3 linked regions of the Struthio camelus genome follow. The protein of the gene in region 1 purifies or fractionates together with the protein of each later gene. This does not show direct contact. Links are inferred from orthologs where the notes say so. Each region holds a gene or a part of one and is shown on either strand. Other genes may lie near its edges.

Region 1 (5,356 bases):
CCACTGTCCGCACCCTGCAGGGAGGGAAAAACAAGGTACCAAAAAAGCACAGGTTTGACAAGCAAAGATGGAGCATGAGGGAGATAAAAGACCGTCAGGAGACAAGATAACGGAGAGGAAGCGTGATCCCACATGTAGTGGAGCAGGTGAAGACTTACTCTGACAAAGCCTCCCAGAAGAAAGGCCTGTTCATGGCAAGACTCTTCAGCTCATTCAGTGTATCGGTTAGCGTGGCACTGAAAAGCAACGTTTGTCTGCGTGCTGGAACAGCCTCTAGGATCACCTCCAGGTCCTCAGTGAAGTCAGTACATTCCTGCTCTAGCAGCCGGTCAGCCTCATCCAAAACCTAGACACAGCCAAAAAATAACCAACAGACTGTCTGCACTCATGCCTACGAAGCTAGGAATCTTAAAAGCAGAAACAAAACTAAATAAACTGCCCTACCAAGAACTTTAGCTTTTTAAGGCTGAAAGTGTTGGAGCTGCGGAGGTGATCTGCCAACCTGCCAGGTGTAGCAATGACAACATGGGGTTTGCGGGAGAGCTCTAGTGCCTGGGCCACCATGTCTGAAACAAAGAGCCATAGAACCAGGTTACAGGCAGCTGAACACAGACCCTAAATAACGTTTGGTCTGTGAAGTTGGGAAATACAACGCTCCCTATTTCTGCTACCCTCACACAGCCTTAGGCACAGAATAACAACTTCACAGCAAGAAGAAAACATAGCACGTAGAAAGAAAAGCGTCACCCACACACTGGATATCCAGTGACCCAGGAAAACAAAACTATTGTTCTGGGTTTAAAACGCTTACCATCCTTATGTCCTTTTATAACTCTTTGCTTCAAAAACAGCTGCCTACGTTTAAGGAAACACTCCCAGTTTAGAGATAAATCACACAGGCCTCTATCCACAGGGACAAAAGGACAGTAAGCCTCTCTAACAACGACTACCTATCTCCATCCAGCTGCTGCAGGGAACAGGCTGCCAAAAGAGAGGCGATTTCCGATGCATTTTGGAGAATTTGGCCCCCACTTGCTCACCCAGTGTTTTGTTCTTTACCAGCCCTGCCCGCACCGGAGGCGGAGAGGACCAGCAGAGGCCCCACGCGGCCCCAACCTCGGGGCAGCGCCACTCACCCAGGCCGCCCACCACGACGCAGTCCTTCAGGCCGAGGGGCTTCCCCAGGACGCGGAACTGCTCGGCGATCTGGTAGGCCAGCTCCCTGCCGAGGGAGAGAGAGCTCAGGCGGGGCCGGGCGCCGCGGCGGGGCCCTGCCCCAGGGGCCGGGGCTCCCCGGGACCCCTGCGCACCTCGTGGGCGTCAGCACCAGGCAGAAGATGCCGTAGGGGTCCTCGGAGAGCGCCTGCAGCACGGGCAGCACGAAGGCCGCCGTCTTCCCGCTGCCCGTCTTGGCGCAGCCCAGGCAGTCGCGACCTGCGCGGGAGGCAGAAGCAGGCGGGCCGTTAACGGCCGCCGGCAGCCCTTCAACGGCCGCCGGCAGCCGTTAACGGCCACCGGGGCGCCGCGAGCGGCGGCGGCCGCGCTCACCCTGAAGCACGGGCGGGATGCAGGCGGCCTGCACGGCCGTGGGCCGGCTCAGCCCCACCTGCCGCGCCTGCTCCACCAGCCAGGGCGCCAGCCCCAGCTCCCGGAAGGCCGCCATGATACCGCTGCCGCTGCCACTGCCGGCCAGGCCGCCGCCGCCGCCGCCACCCCCCCCACTTCCGGCCTACGCGCTGCGCGTCACCGCCCCGCCCGGCCTCCTCATTGGCTGCCTTCTCTCTGCACCCACTTCCGGCGCCCGCTCTGGCGTCATCGCCCCCGGCACGCCCATTGGTTGGGGGGAGAGGAGCGTCCTGTGACGCTAGCTCCCGGCAGCCCTCGCGGCCCAGCTGCTTCCGGAGACGTGTCTGAGGGGAGGGAAATGGCGGCCGGGGGGGGCGCGGGCCCTGCCGGCCAGGGCGGCGATGCGGACGAGCTCTTCGACGTAAAGAACAACTTCTACATCGGTGCCTACCAGGCCGCCATCAACGAGGCGCAGCGGGTCAAGGTAGGGGTGGCCTAGAGGGGGCCCTGGCGCCATGTGTCCCCCCGGCTCCTCTCCCCCGGGCCCGGCCTCCCCTCAGCCGCCCTCTCCCCGGAGCCCCTCGCCTCGCCTCGCCTCGCCGCAGGCTGTCTGCGCTGCCGCTAGCGTCTCTCCTCTCCTGCAGCGCCCCCCGCCCCCGGTGTGGGGGTCTCGTCCCACGGTGCAGCCTGGCGGGGCCGTCCGTGTGGGACTGCGCTGCTCAGGGCTCGGGTTATGGCTGCACGGGTTGCTGAGAAAGGTCTTTTTTGTCGTCCCGTCAGCCGTCTAATCCGGAGAAGGAGGTGGAGAGGGATGTTTTCTTATTCCGAGCCTACATTGCCCAGGTGAGGTTACAAATGCTGCATATGCAGTAGTCTAGCGTTACTGTGGGGCTGGAATCCAGAACTTGTGAATCTGAGTCCTGCAAATTCAGTGCCGTGCAATTTCTAGTAATTCCTCCTTCAGTGTTGGAACGTAACGTCCGCTGGAACAGACACGGAACATGCAGTAGTGCAGTTATGAACGCGATGTGTTGTGTCTAGGGTCAGTGCAACCTGATGAGACCTCTTTGAGAGGTACTTCTTTATTGTTAACACAGTGTAGAGGGGGGAATAATTCTTTATAGGGTTATGAAATCTGACTGTGTACAGTGCGATGGGAGATGTAAAATAGGAAGGGGAGGGGTGGTGTCTAAGGTTTACAGAACAAACTATTCCTGCTTGTGTTCTTAAAATGAATAAATTCTAGATTCTTTTTTGTCTTCAACAGAGAAAATATGGTGTTGTCCTGGATGAAATTAAAGCCAATGCTAGTCCTGAGCTCCAAGCAGTAAGGATGTTTGCTCAATATCTTTCAAATGAGGGTCAAAGGTAAGTCTGATAATAAGTTATAACACTCACGCACTGTCAGGGAATATATTTTCCTATGGAGAATTTCTAATAGAAGTGTAATCTTTATTATGGCTGTCTGTGGTTCTGCCACGAATCTCAAAAACGTAGAATTTTAGGGGGTAAAATCTTTTGGCGTTATTTAGTAATAAAACGCTCAAATTTTTACTACTGCTCTTCACAGAGATGCAATTGTTGCTGACTTGGACAAAAAAATGGCAAAAAGTGTTGATGTAGCTAACACTACTTTCTTGCTGATGGCTGCTTCCATCTATTTCCATGACAAAAATCCTGATGCCGCTTTGCGCACTCTACATCAAGGGGAAAGCTTGGAATGGTAAGTGTAATTCAATATGACATCATTGAGGTGTGTGTTAGCAAAGTCTCTGTTGTCTAGGGAGAGTTACCATAGAAATGGCAGAGATCTGGCTTGTCTCTAAAAAGCTTTGAAACCATTAAGAAACTGTTTTGAGGATTGTCTTCCAAGCAGTAAGTGACTTGGTGCCTGTCCTGCAATAGAAAGTATATTGTACCTTTGTGAAACTTTAGAATTTGATTTTTTTTTTTTTTTTGGAACAGTACTTGTTCGTGGTTGCTCAAATGAGCATTATGGTGTTACAGCAACAGAATATTTGGGAGCTAGAAGCAAGCTTCCCTGTTCTGTGTCCCAGTGATTGTTCTCCCTGCTTTATTGGTTTTCCGCTGCAGGGAGACTTGTCCCTAGTCTCCGGTAATACATCTGTCTCCTATGCAGTAGGTTCCCAAGCAAAGTGTAGGGAGCAGTAGAGCACGCAGCTGTGAAAATCACTTTCCCTTTGTTCCTTGCAGCATGGCAATGATGATACAGATTCTTCTGAAGCTCGACAGGCTTGATCTAGCCCGGTAAGTTTGCCTCTTGTATGCACCCCTTTGTTTCTGAACAATATTCTTGCAGTGGGCTTAAAAAAATTTGAAGTCCTTGATAAGAGAATTTGGATCACCTAGCAGCGCTTTAACACATGCAATGGGCAGAAGAAACTGTGTCTGGGTATGGGTGCACTGTGCAAAATTCCTGTTCGTCATGATGCAAGAACTTTGGAGATAATCTAGCTGGATACAGCTAAAGGAAGAAGCTGTCTCCTAGACTTAATTTCGCCTTTGCTAGAGGGTGATTTGAGTCTCTAGTCATGGGTTATTAGCTTCCCAAAAGGAAGTTAAACAGGGAGGGAACACTCTTCCACAGACTTGTTTCAGCAAAATATCGTAAAGGTTTTGTGCCACATTACCAGGTTGCTGTGGCTGTTTGCTAGAGGGAGAGAAGAGTTGACAGAGGGAACTGCAGCCTTTTGTTTGTATCTGAAAGAACTCCAGAGGATGCATTATCTTTCTGTTACATGGCTCCCACTTTTGCTTCTGCAGCAAGGAACTTAAGAAGATGCAGGAGCAGGACGAAGATGCAACTCTTACTCAGCTGGCTACTGCCTGGGTGAACCTAGCCATAGTGAGTAGCCTAGACAGGGGTCCCTAGTGTACAGCGTCTGAGGAAACGTTGTCCAGAAGCACAGCACTGGCACAAGACTCCATGTTGTATTCCTGATTGCTCTTGTCACGTTGTGCCTTCAGGGAAGCATGTCGTTTGGCAGAGGGGGAGGGAAAGGGGGGTTGTCTTGTTTTTGGAGGAGAGGGGTACTTTTTTCTTTTTTTTTTTCTCTCTCTCTCTTTGTTACCATGGAAATGTATTTTTTCCTTCAAGTACCCGGAGGATATTTGCAGCTGACTTTTCAGGCTGCCTGGCTGTTTTGACTGTTGGCCTTTTCATGTGTGCTATTTAGCCTTTAACTCGCATAGGGCAGAGCTAAACCACAGTTTAAATAATTCATGAAACATCATAATGTGAAATGGAAAGCTGCAGTGCGACTAGCATCCAGGCCTTGCAATTGAACTCCAGACAAAAATGTAATTCTCTGCTCACAGCAGATTGTCCTTAAGCACGTTTGTGATTCTAGGAATAGCAGGACAGTGCTCGCTAAACTCAATTTCAGTGATAAAACCAGCTGCCATAGCTCCTCGTTTGCCCTCAGCACTGGTTTCCTTTGCTCAGCAAGATGTTTGGCACTTTTGGTCTTTTATTCTTTAACTTCCCTCCCATCCAAGGAAACCTGTCTCTGCACAGCTAAAAACTTGCCTTTCACCTTGTTACTGCTCTCCATTGAGCCTTTTGATGCTCACCACTGGCTGGCAAGAATTTTATTTACAACTAAGCATTTGAAATGGGCAGCCAAAAACATATACTGTCTGGCAGTCCCGATATCAGGTATTTAGAAATAAGTAGTCTCCTAAAATTTGGTCAAGACCGAAGCATGCATGCAGTAACCTACTGTGAAGCTGCTAAGACTATTTTAGCACACGCTTGGCCTTGTTATGA
Region 2 (5,356 bases), on another chromosome or scaffold:
CAGCGCCTCCATTTTGCGCTCGCCGATGCCGACGTGGAGCCGGAAGAGCGGCCGCGTGTCATTGGCTGCCCGGCTGCCAATCACCGCCCTGCTCTGGGACCCGCGCGGCGATCCCGCGTCTCATTGGGCGAGCCTCTCTGAAGTCTGGCCAATCAGCGCAAGGTTCGCTTGGGGGGCGGGCCGGGCGAAGTTCCTCCTTTCTCGAGCCGCCGAAATCTATCGGTGATTGGACATGAGGGCTGTCAGTCACCGTCCCTGGAAAGCGGAGGGAGGCGCAGTTCCCATGGCAACCGAAGAAGCGCTGACGCAACCAGCCTTACCAGTCGCGTTAGGCGATTGGCGGGGCTGCTAATCACATGACCGGAAGCATTTCCCGCATGTTGCTTGGCCACGCCCCCAACGGGGTCATGACCCCCAGTGGGCGCGAGGCCGTTACCTTTGACCTTTGGCCTCTCTGGGGTCAGGTGGGGGGAGGGGGGACCGTGGGGGCACAGGGACAGGAGCAGCACGGCCATGGGGGGACACGGGGGGGACACGGGGACATGGGGGACGGGGACATGGGGGACGGGGACACGGGGACACGGGGGACAGGGGGACATGGGGGACGGGGACACGGGGACACGGGGGACAGGGGGACACGGGGGACAGGGGGACATGGGGGACGGGGACACGGGGACACGGGGGACAGGGGGACACGGGGGACAGGGGGACATGGGGGACGGGGACACGGGGACACGGGGGACAGGGGGACACGGGGGACAGGGGGACATGGGGGACGGGGACAGGGGGACACGGGGGACGGGGACACGGGGACACGGGGGACAGGGGGGACAGGGGGACGGGGGACATGGGGACACGGGGGACAGGGGGACACGGGGGACAGGGGGACAGGGGGACGGGGGACAGGGGGACACGGGGGACAGGGGGACACGGGGGACAGGGGGACGGGGGACACGGGGACATGGGGGACGGGGACATGGGGGACGGGGACACGGGGACACGGGGGACAGGGGGGACAGGGGGACGGGGGACATGGGGACACGGGGGACAGGGGGACACGGGGGACAGGGGGACAGGGGGACGGGGGACAGGGGGACACGGGGGACAGGGGGACGGGGGACACGGGGACATGGGGGACGGGGACAGGGGGACATGGGGGACGGGGACACGGGGACACGGGGGACAGGGGGACGGGGGACATGGGGACACGGGGGACAGGGGGACACGGGGGACAGGGGGACATGGGGACGGGGGACATGGGGACGGGGACACAGGGACAGGATCAGCACGGCCATGGGGGTCACGGGGGGGACACGGGGACAGGGGGACATGGGGACACGGGGGACATGGAGGACAGGGGGACATGGGGACACGGTGGACAGGGGGACACAGGGACGGGGGACATGGGGGACAGGGACACAGGGACAGGATCAGCACAGCCATGGGGGGACACGGGGGGGACACGGGGACAGGGGGACATGGGGACACGGGGGACATGGAGGACAGGGGGACATGGGGACACGGTGGACAGGGGGACACAGGGACGGGGGACATGGGGGACAGGGACACAGGGACAGGATCAGCACGGCCATGGGGGGACACGGGGGGGACACGGGGACAGGGCCACGGGCTCGACAGGGCCGCAGGATGCTGCAGGGACACGGGGACATGGGGGACGGGGGGACACAGGGACAGGGGGACATGGGGACACGGGGGAAAGGGGGACACAGGGTCGGGGGACATGGGGGACGGTGACACAGGGACAGGATCAGCACGGCCATGGGGGGACACGGGGGGGACACGGGGACAGGGGGACGGGGAGATGGGGGACGGGGACATGGGGGACGGGGACAGGGGGACACGGGGGACAGGGGGACACAGAGACGGGGGACATGGGGGACAGGGACACAGGGATAGGATCAGCACGGCCATGGGGGGACACGGGGGGGACACGGGGACAGGGCCGCAGGATGCTGCGGGGACACGGCCACGGGGGGACACGGGGGACAGGGGGACATGGGGACACGGGGTACGGGGGACAGGGGGACACAGGGACATGGGGACACAGGGACAGGATCAGCACGGCCATCGGGGGACACGGGGGGGACACAGGGACAGGGCCACGGGCTCGACAGGGCCGCAGGACACTGCAGGGACACGGGGACATGGGGGACGGGGGAACACGGGGACAGGGGGGACGGGGGGACACGGGGACACGGACACGACATGGGGGACATGGGGACACAGGGACACGGGCGAGCGGTCAACATGGACATGGGGACGTGGGGACATGGAGTCAACACGGCCACGGGGACTTGGGGGACGTAGGGTCAACATGGACATGAGCACACAGGGACATAGGGACAGGGAGACGGGTGAGGGATCAACATGGACATGGGGGACATGGGGACAGGGACACGGGTGAGGGGTCAACATGGACATGGGGGACACGGGGACAGGGACACGGGTGAGGGGTCAACATGGACATGGGGGACACGGGGACAGGGACACGGGTGAGGGGTCAACATGGACATGGGGACATGGAGACACGTTGGAGACAGGGAGAGGGACACAGGGGACATGGGGACAGGGACACAGGGTCAACATGGGCATGGGGGACACAGAGAGATGGGGAGGGGGACATGGACACGGGGACAACACGGACACAGGGGACAGGGGGACGTGGTGACAGGGACATGGACACGGGGTCAACAGGGACACGGGGGACGGTGGTGGGCACAACGCGGACGGGGGGACCGGGGGGGGGGACGCGGTGACACGGACACGGGGCCAACCCGACGTGCAGGGCCGGGGGGACGTGGACACGCAGGGACACGGAGGGGGACACGGGGCGGCCACGCACGCGCAGGGACACGCCATGGGGGGGGGGGGGCCGGACGCCTGGGCCCCCTGCGGGGGGGGGGGGGGGGGGCGGATGCCCTGGGCCCTACTGATAACGCCGGGCCCTGCTGGGGGGGGGGGAGCTGTGTCCCCTGTGTCCCCAACCCTGTCCCCGTCCCCCGTCTCCTGTCCCCATCCTTGTCCCTGTCCTCATGTCCCCAAGTCCCCCTCCCTGTCCCCTTGTCCCCATCCCTGTGCCCCCCATTCCCCTGTCCCCATGTCCCCTTGTCCCTGTCCCATGTCCCCATCCCCATGTCCCTTTGTCCTCATGTCCCCCACTCCCCCATCCCCGTGTCCCCACCCCGTCCCTGCCCCCTGTCCCCCATCTCCTGTCCCCATCCTTGTCCCTGTCCCCAAATCCCCATCCCTGTCCCCTCCCCATCCCTGTCCCCATGTCCCCATCCCTGTCCCCATGTCCTGTTGCCCCAGGTCCCCCCTCTGTCCCTGTCCCCCTGTCCCCCACTCTTTCTTTGCCCCCATGTCCCCAAGTCCCCATCCTCACCCCTGTCCCCGTGTCTCCTTGTCCCCGTGTCCCCCACGTCCCCTGTCCCTGCACCCCCCATTCCCCTGTCCCCATGTCCCGTCCCCCCCCGCCGTGCCCGTGTCCCTGCGGCGGGTGCCGGGGGCGGGCGGGGGCCGGGGCCGCCCCGGGGGCTGGCGCTGCGCCGTGTCCCCGCCGTGTCCCCAGAGGCGCCCGCGATGGCCGTGCCCTGAGCACCAGCCCCCGGACGCCGGCGGTGACCCGCGGCAGGTAGGAGCCCGCGCGGCAGGACACGCGTGTGCTCCCGTGGGGCGACACGGGGCCACACGGCTGGGGGACGTGGGCCGGGGTCAGGGCAGGCGCGGGCTCGGGGATCGGTGCACGCGTGTGCCCAGGGATCGGTGCACGCGTGTGCTCAGGGCTCGGTGCACGCGTGTGCCTTGGGTCTGGTGCATGTGTGTGCCCAGGGGTTGGTGCACGCGTGTGCTCAGGGGCCGGTGCATGTGTGTGCCCAGGGATCAGTGCACGCATGTGCAAAAGGGTCGGTGCACGCGTGTGTGCCCCGGGTCTGGTGCACGTGTGTGCCCAGGGCTCGGTGCACGCGTGTGCCCTGGGTCTGGTGCACGCGTGTGCTCAGGGGTTGGTACATGCGTGTGCCCTGGGTCTGGTGCAAGCGTGTGCCCAGGGCTCGGTGCACGCGTGCGCCCTGGGTCTGGTGCATGCGTGTGCCCAGGGATCGGTGCACGCGTGTGCCCTGGGTCTGGTGCACGCGTGTGCTCAGGGGTTGGTACATGCGTGTGCCCTGGGTCTGGTGCACGCGTGTGCTCAGGGGTTGGTACATGCGTGTGCCCTGGGTCTGGTGCAAGCGTGTGCTCAGGGGTTGGTACATGCGTGTGCCCTGGGTCTGGTGCAAGCGTGTGCTCAGGGGTTGGTACATGCGTGTGCCCTGGGTCTGGTGCAAGCGTGTGCTCAGGGGTTGGTACATGCGTGTGCCCTGGGTCTGGTGCAAGCGTGTGCTCAGGGGTTGGTACATGCGTGTGCCCTGGGTCTGGTGCACGCGTGTGCCCTGGGTCTGGTGCATGCGTGTGCCCTGGGTCTGGTGCACGCGTGTGCCCAGGGCTCGGTGCACGCGTGCACCTGCGGACCAGTGCGTGTGCCCGGCGTTGGCTACGCAGGTTTCCGTGCCCAGCTCTCGGCACACGCGTGTGCGAGCGCCGGGGCGGTTTGCCCGCAGCGGGGCCGGGGCACACGCGGGGCGCGGCGCCAGCGCCGGCGCGGGGCGATAACGGCGCCGGGGCCCTGCGGTTCCAGCTGCCCCGGCCGGCGGGTAACGACGGGAAACGGGGGCGGAAAGGGCCCCGGCGGCCCCGGCCCGGCCGGCTGCAGTGGCTGCGCCAGCGCAGGGCGCCGTGTTTGTGTAGGGTCTCCTGGGGGCCGTGTTATTGCAGGGTGCCCCGGGTGCTGTGTTATTGTAGGGTCTGCAGGGTGCCGTGTTATTGCAGGGTGCCCCGGGTGCTGTGTTATTGTAGGGTCTGCAGGGTGCCGTGTTATTGCAGGGTGCCCCGGGTGCTGTGTTATTGTAGGGTCTCCAGGGGGCTGTGTTATTGCAGGGTGCCCCGGGTGCTGTGTTATTGTAGGGTCTGCAGGGTGCCGTGTTATTGCAGGGTGCCCCGGGTGCTGTGTTATTGTAGGGTCTGCAGGGTGCCGTGTTATTGCAGGGTGCCCCGGGTGCTGTGTTATTGCAGGGTCTCCAGGGTGCCGTGTTATTGCAGGGTGCCCCGGGTGCTGTGTTATTGTAGGGTCTCCAGGGGGCCGTGTTATTGCAGGGTGCCCCGGGTGCCTCACCGCCGCCGGACCCCCGTGTGCGGCACTGGTGCAGGGCGAGGGGTGGCCCAGGGGTGGCACCCGAGCTGGGGGACACGGCGGCGTGCTGACACCCCCAGGGGACACGGGGGTGGCGGGGGGGGACGGCCA
Region 3 (5,356 bases), on another chromosome or scaffold:
AACGTGACATAACAACAAGAAATTGTTTACTCTCTCTCTTATGGCAGAAGACTAGAATGAAAACATTTAAAGATAAAAATTTTAAGTATTACTTCAATTTAGATTAAAAAAATAAGTGGAGAAAACTTTGACTTTTCAGCCAACTGTGTCTACTTACTTATGCTTTCCACGTACAACTTTTTAACCACCAATCTAAAGGCTGATTCAAGAACATATTGGAGAGGCCTCCATACATGCAATTGTAAGAAGTTACTGCATTAAGATACTGTTAATGTTTTAACTGAGACATAATTACTGTTTCAGTTTGCCGTAATAATAATATAGAATAACTGGTCGATGTTCATTCCATCACAAAATACATGTTATCAAGCTTAGAATACAACTATTCAGCTTAAAGTACTAACCTAACTGAATAAAAGCAAAGTATTTTTCTAGAGACCAACAAAACGTCTCTTAAACTTTTTATTTTAAATATAAACGGGAACAAAAGCAGAAAGCAACTTTTAACTCATTTTACCTTGGATGGTCTAGCGTTTCAGCTTAGTCACAGCAGCACTACTAACATTTAGCCAAATTTGGGTGCTGAATGCGTTCAAGCTGACAGCTAAAGTTGAATCCAGATTTACTGTGCACCAGATCTAGAATTAGCCACATCATTATGCTCTCTCTCTTTTTTTTTTTTTTTTTTTTTTTAAAAGTTTTAAAGCTAACTTAAAGGAGAAAATCTCTGGGTAACCATAATGAATTATTTCTCTCTTCTACAAATTCATATGAAATCCTACTACTTAGTGACATACAAAGGAATGCCATGAAAACAAATCACAGAAAATGGTACTATATACAGAAATCACAAGAAGAAGATAGCTTACAGCTCCTGTAACAACCCAGTTCTTTCTTGCCACAAATTTGGCAGCTCTCACTGGCAGGTCACACACTTCAAAGGTCTTCACCAGCGTCTAAGAAAAAAAAAGAATTATATTAATTATTTGTAGTAATTTAAGATCCTTCTTGTGTATCTAGCATCAGAACATGTATTTCATACACAATAGAGGAAAAACAAAAACATCACCTGTGTTTCATGATTCCAAACGCAGACACTGCCATTGTAAAGGCTAGCCAACATCCATGGCTCTGTGGGATGCAAGTCTACGCTCTTCACCCGGTCAGACCGAGCAGTTAGTTTCCGCTTTATATCAAGTCGGAGAGGCTAGAAACGAAAAAAAGTTCACAATACCAGAGTTATTCCAACATAAATTCAACATAAAAACATCATGGAAGGAAAGGAAAGCTGAAGTTAAACCTTAAAACAACTGGAGCCAATCCTGCTTTTCAGAAAGGAGGCTACTTCTCTCTTATCTGCCTGTCTGCCTGTTTTTGTAGAAGTTTCTGAAAACACATCCCTACCAATATCAATGGGTCCCTTTAATTTACTTTTGTGAACGTTTAAGTGTTTTCTTACTGTAAGTAGTATCTACAGCACAGGCAAAGAAAAGATGCACCGCACAGCTCCTTACAAAGCTCCCTGATGTCCCTGAACTACTAAATCAGAGTTAAGAGAATTTGCTTCTAATACAAACATTAAAATACAAGTCTTCCTTCTCTTTCACTTGAAAATACAGGTGGAGAAGCTAGTTATCACAACTGAAAGAACCAATAATGTAACAACACTTGCCCATTACCAATTTGCATTCACCAAGTTCTTCTACTCTAACAAGTTTTCAGATGTAATACTATGTAGTAAAAACCGGTAGAAAGGAAAAGTTTAAGTCTTCCTATTAAAAAGGCAGGCTGTGACTTTCCACTTTCATCACTGGCAGTCTAATGCTAAAGTACCTAAAATTCAAAAGGCACGAAGTACAGCAAAGCGATTTTCTAAAACTTCTGAGGCACTATAACTTTGTCCAGACACTCAAAAACTGTTGAGTTTACTTAAGGCTCGTCAGCTCAAAAATAGCCTAAGGATTTTCAAGGGTGACGCAAGACGCTGTTGAACAGCATCTCATCTCAGAACCGGACGGGTCCTCTCTGATCGCTGAACACGTTACGTGCCTCGTCCTGAGTAGCAGAACAAAACCAGCAAAACCTGCAGGTGCGTGTGTTAGGCAGCATAAGGAGGAAAAAACACCTCGCTATCATGTAACCTGCAGTCATGACACCTGACGGCAGGGAACGAACTTGTGGTTTACCGTTTCTGCGATAAACACTACAAAAGCAGGCCAGACAAAGCGCATGCGATTCTGCCTTCGCTCCCTGAAACTTCTCTAACATAAGCGGCTAACGGTAACCTCCACGGCAGCTACTTCGGCAGCCGGGGGGTCTGCCCGCCGACGCCACCGCCGCAAGAGACGACCGGGCACCGACTCGCCCCTGCCTCGTGCCCGAGGGGGCCCCCGGCGGGCCCCAAACCGCCCCTCGGCGGTGGCGTTGCGCGGCCCCCGGCAGGGCGCTCCTCCCCACACTGACCCCCGCCTGCGCCGCTTCTGGGAGCGCCCGACACCACCTCCGCGGCCCGGCCCGGCCCGGCCTGCACCGGCGCCCCCCGCCGCGCCCCCCGCGCCGCGCCGCGCCGCGCTCGCCCTCACACAGCGGGGCCCGGCCCGGCCCGGCCCGGCCCGGCCCCGGCGGTGACCGCGGGCCCCCGGCCCCGCTCACCATCGCCCCGAGTGGCCCCGCGGCAGCGCCCAGGTGTCGCTCAGCCCCAGCCAGCCACCGCCGACCGACCGACCGACCGACGTGGAGCTTCCGCCCCGCTGCTCTCGCGAGAGGACCGGCGCGAGAGTTCGCCCCTCGCGATACGGCAGCAGCCCTCCCACGGCATGCCGGGACATGTAGTTGCCTCTCCCCCCTCCCGGCTGCTGTCGCGGGGCACGCTGGGAGCTGTAGTGGGCGCGGGAGCGGGAGCGGGAGCGCGCGCGTGCTGTCGCCTCAGAGCGGCCGTAACGGTCCTAACGGCTGCGGCGGCGTTTGCGCTGTGCGTGGCGGGCGCTGCGGTGGGGCCCTTACCGTCCTCAGGGACAATCCTTCGCGTGAGGTCCCCTCACGGTTAGAGACGGCGGTGGAAAGCCGGTGTGCTTTGCCCAAGTGTGAGCGACCCGGGGAAGAGAAAGGTCCTTTGGTCACCTTTGCCTGCTCAGCGTGGTCTCTCCAAGCACTTCAGGGTGGCATTGGCCAGAGGGGCTGGGGCCCGTGTGGTGAGCGCAGCGGGGCCCTGGAGCAGGCTGCTGGAAGGAGCCCAGCTGACCTCTCTCGGGCCGTGAAAAGACTTGATCTTGGTCAGTCCTGCAGACCCTGTAGATGTGAAACACTGCCTGGCAGGTTTTTCCTTTTATAAATCTTTTTGTCACCTAAAGTTACCCATGCTGTTACCCAAAACAGAGTGTCTTAGAAACATTATGGTGAATGTGAAATTTCAGGCAGCACCAAAACACGGGGAACCATCGCTGAAAAATTCTGCTCCAGCACTGTTTGCCAGATAAAAGTTCCATCTTCAGTTGAAGATTACAAGCCCCATTTAATTCTACAAAGGAGAGAAATTACAAGAAGGATAGTTATATTCGTTAGGTTTCCGTTAAAGAAAATGCTTACGATGATACAATTTAAGCACTCAGTTGAGAATTGAGAGCCCACTGTGCTCTATCCTACAACGCAGGAAGAAGGATTGCATTGCCCTGGAGCGCGCACGGTTTGATGGACATAGAAACAAAAGGGTGAGAGGTTACTTTACCTCTTGCTATTTTCACTCCAAGAGAGCAAAGACAGAAAGACAGATACCTAAAATTAGAAAGACACAGGCCTGATGAGTGAACGAGAAGAGAGATGCCAGAAGCAAAAGAAGGGTTGCAATGTTTTCAGCAGTTATGGGTGAGTTTAAGCTCATGTATACATGAGAACATAGAATTTCAGCTTTCATTTAAAGCCTGTTTATAGTAGTGATTGTGGAAAAATGCTTCAACACATCTGAGTACAGAATTTCAGGATGTAGAATCTAAACAAGCTTGCTTAAAAGTAATGATGTGAGTAAAATTTATGATTTTCGAGTCTAATTCATGGTTTTTAGACAGCTGAGGTGTTTGGAACAGGCTGGAACACTGAAAGAAGAAATATAGGGGAAAGACGTCAGTACTAGAGAACATAGGTAGTGGGGGTAGAAAAACACACATTGTATATTTTCCCTCGAAGAGCTCAACAAGGTCCTGGCCAGAGACAGATGAGGGTATTATAGAAGAATCGAAGATAGCAAGGAAGGTAAGTGACAGGTGAAGAGACAGAGCTAGTTAGTCAAGACAATAACAGCTGGGAAAGGAAGAAATTTGTTTGCTGTTTGCATCAACTCCTCCTGGAAAGTTATAGCAACAGAACTAAATTCAGAAGGGAGGCACAGGGACAAGGATGACCTTACAGTAGGAGAGAAGCAATGAAAAAAAAATTTCTATACTATAAGGATATGGAATGTCTGTCCCAGCTATTCAACACAAGGATACCAGTTCTGACTCAAGATCATGATCCACAAATTGCTGTAAATTAAATGGCTATACAGAGGAGTATTATTTTGTATACGCTTTTCTTTCATGTTTTTTCCCTCTGTATCCTCCTTATTAGCCATTATTTCACCTGGGTGATAGGCAAAGTGACTGCAACAAGCCCTTGGGCCATCTCTAAAAAGACATTCAATAGAAAAACATTTCTATTGAATGATAAGAAGAAAATCTCTACTCTGAGTTCCTTTATGTGACCCAGCAGCCATTCTTATGCCTATCTGTTGAGAGAAGTTTTTCAGGTAAGAAAGCACACAAAATGTTTCCTTCCAAAAGTAGTAGAACAGAGGAAACTTTGCTTCTTGTGGATTTTGTGCTGCTCTTAGGTTTCCCATTGCCCCTTTCATACCCCAGCTTCTTTGGCTAAGTAAGTAACACTTGCAGCAGCTTATTTTGGAGCAACGCGTACTCTGAACAGTTGGCTATTCCCTCATGGTCCTGTTAAAAGTCTATCATTATCTTTATTCTGGGAGAAGTGCACTAATTTGGGTTTATCTTTCTCTCTCTTTGTTATTTTTGTGGCTACTCAAAACCTTTAACACCATAGACAGGGAGAGGGAGGAGGAGAGAATGACTCTTACACATCAGCAAGAGTGCAGTCACGGGCCTTGCTTCCTTAAGAAAACAGGGTAAAGCTGTCCGAGAATGTTTACAATGCAATGGCTAGTACCATTCTACAAGTTTGTTGTTTGTAGAAACACAAATTGCGTGTCTGTAAGGTGTGGATGTGTGTCTATAATAAAGGAGTTGGTAATATGGAGTTGCAGGATACACATTCTGTATGAGCAAAGCTACTAGTAAATCTCTTGCAAGACTAAACA

The links.
Region 2: the proteins of COPE (region 1) and COPZ1 purify together in Homo sapiens (affinity purification with mass spectrometry; 3 studies listed by BioGRID and IntAct, with this or other methods). This does not show direct contact. The link is inferred for Struthio camelus from reciprocal best matches to the Homo sapiens genes COPE and COPZ1.
Region 3: the proteins of COPE (region 1) and COPB2 purify together in Homo sapiens (affinity purification with mass spectrometry; 4 studies listed by BioGRID and IntAct, with this or other methods). This does not show direct contact. The link is inferred for Struthio camelus from reciprocal best matches to the Homo sapiens genes COPE and COPB2.

The regions. Positions count from the first base shown.
Region 1 is NC_090967.1:6,125,286-6,130,641, reverse strand, and holds the start of COPE (coatomer subunit epsilon), read left to right. Parts: upstream 1-1,822; 5' UTR 1,823-1,924; coding exon 1,925-2,050; intron 2,051-2,346; coding exon 2,347-2,409; intron 2,410-2,833; coding exon 2,834-2,934; intron 2,935-3,136; coding exon 3,137-3,289; intron 3,290-3,780; coding exon 3,781-3,834; intron 3,835-4,350; coding exon 4,351-4,432; intron 4,433-5,356. Other genes in the region: probable ATP-dependent RNA helicase DDX49, read right to left, coding at 1-14, 159-346, 445-566, 1,137-1,222, 1,311-1,434, 1,549-1,663. UniProt on the Homo sapiens protein: The coatomer is a cytosolic protein complex that binds to dilysine motifs and reversibly associates with Golgi non-clathrin-coated vesicles, which further mediate biosynthetic protein transport from the ER, via the Golgi up to the trans Golgi network.
Region 2 is NC_090969.1:2,884,563-2,889,918, forward strand, and holds the start of COPZ1 (coatomer subunit zeta-1), read right to left. Parts: upstream 3,447-5,356; 5' UTR 3,404-3,446; intron 349-3,403; exon of another isoform or gene 321-348; intron 217-320; 5' UTR 13-216; coding exon 1-12. UniProt on the Homo sapiens protein: The coatomer is a cytosolic protein complex that binds to dilysine motifs and reversibly associates with Golgi non-clathrin-coated vesicles, which further mediate biosynthetic protein transport from the ER, via the Golgi up to the trans Golgi network.
Region 3 is NC_090950.1:9,825,959-9,831,314, forward strand, and holds the start of COPB2 (coatomer subunit beta'), read right to left. Parts: upstream 2,756-5,356; 5' UTR 2,656-2,755; coding exon 2,653-2,655; intron 1,208-2,652; coding exon 1,070-1,207; intron 957-1,069; coding exon 870-956; intron 1-869. UniProt on the Homo sapiens protein: The coatomer is a cytosolic protein complex that binds to dilysine motifs and reversibly associates with Golgi non-clathrin-coated vesicles, which further mediate biosynthetic protein transport from the ER, via the Golgi up to the trans Golgi network.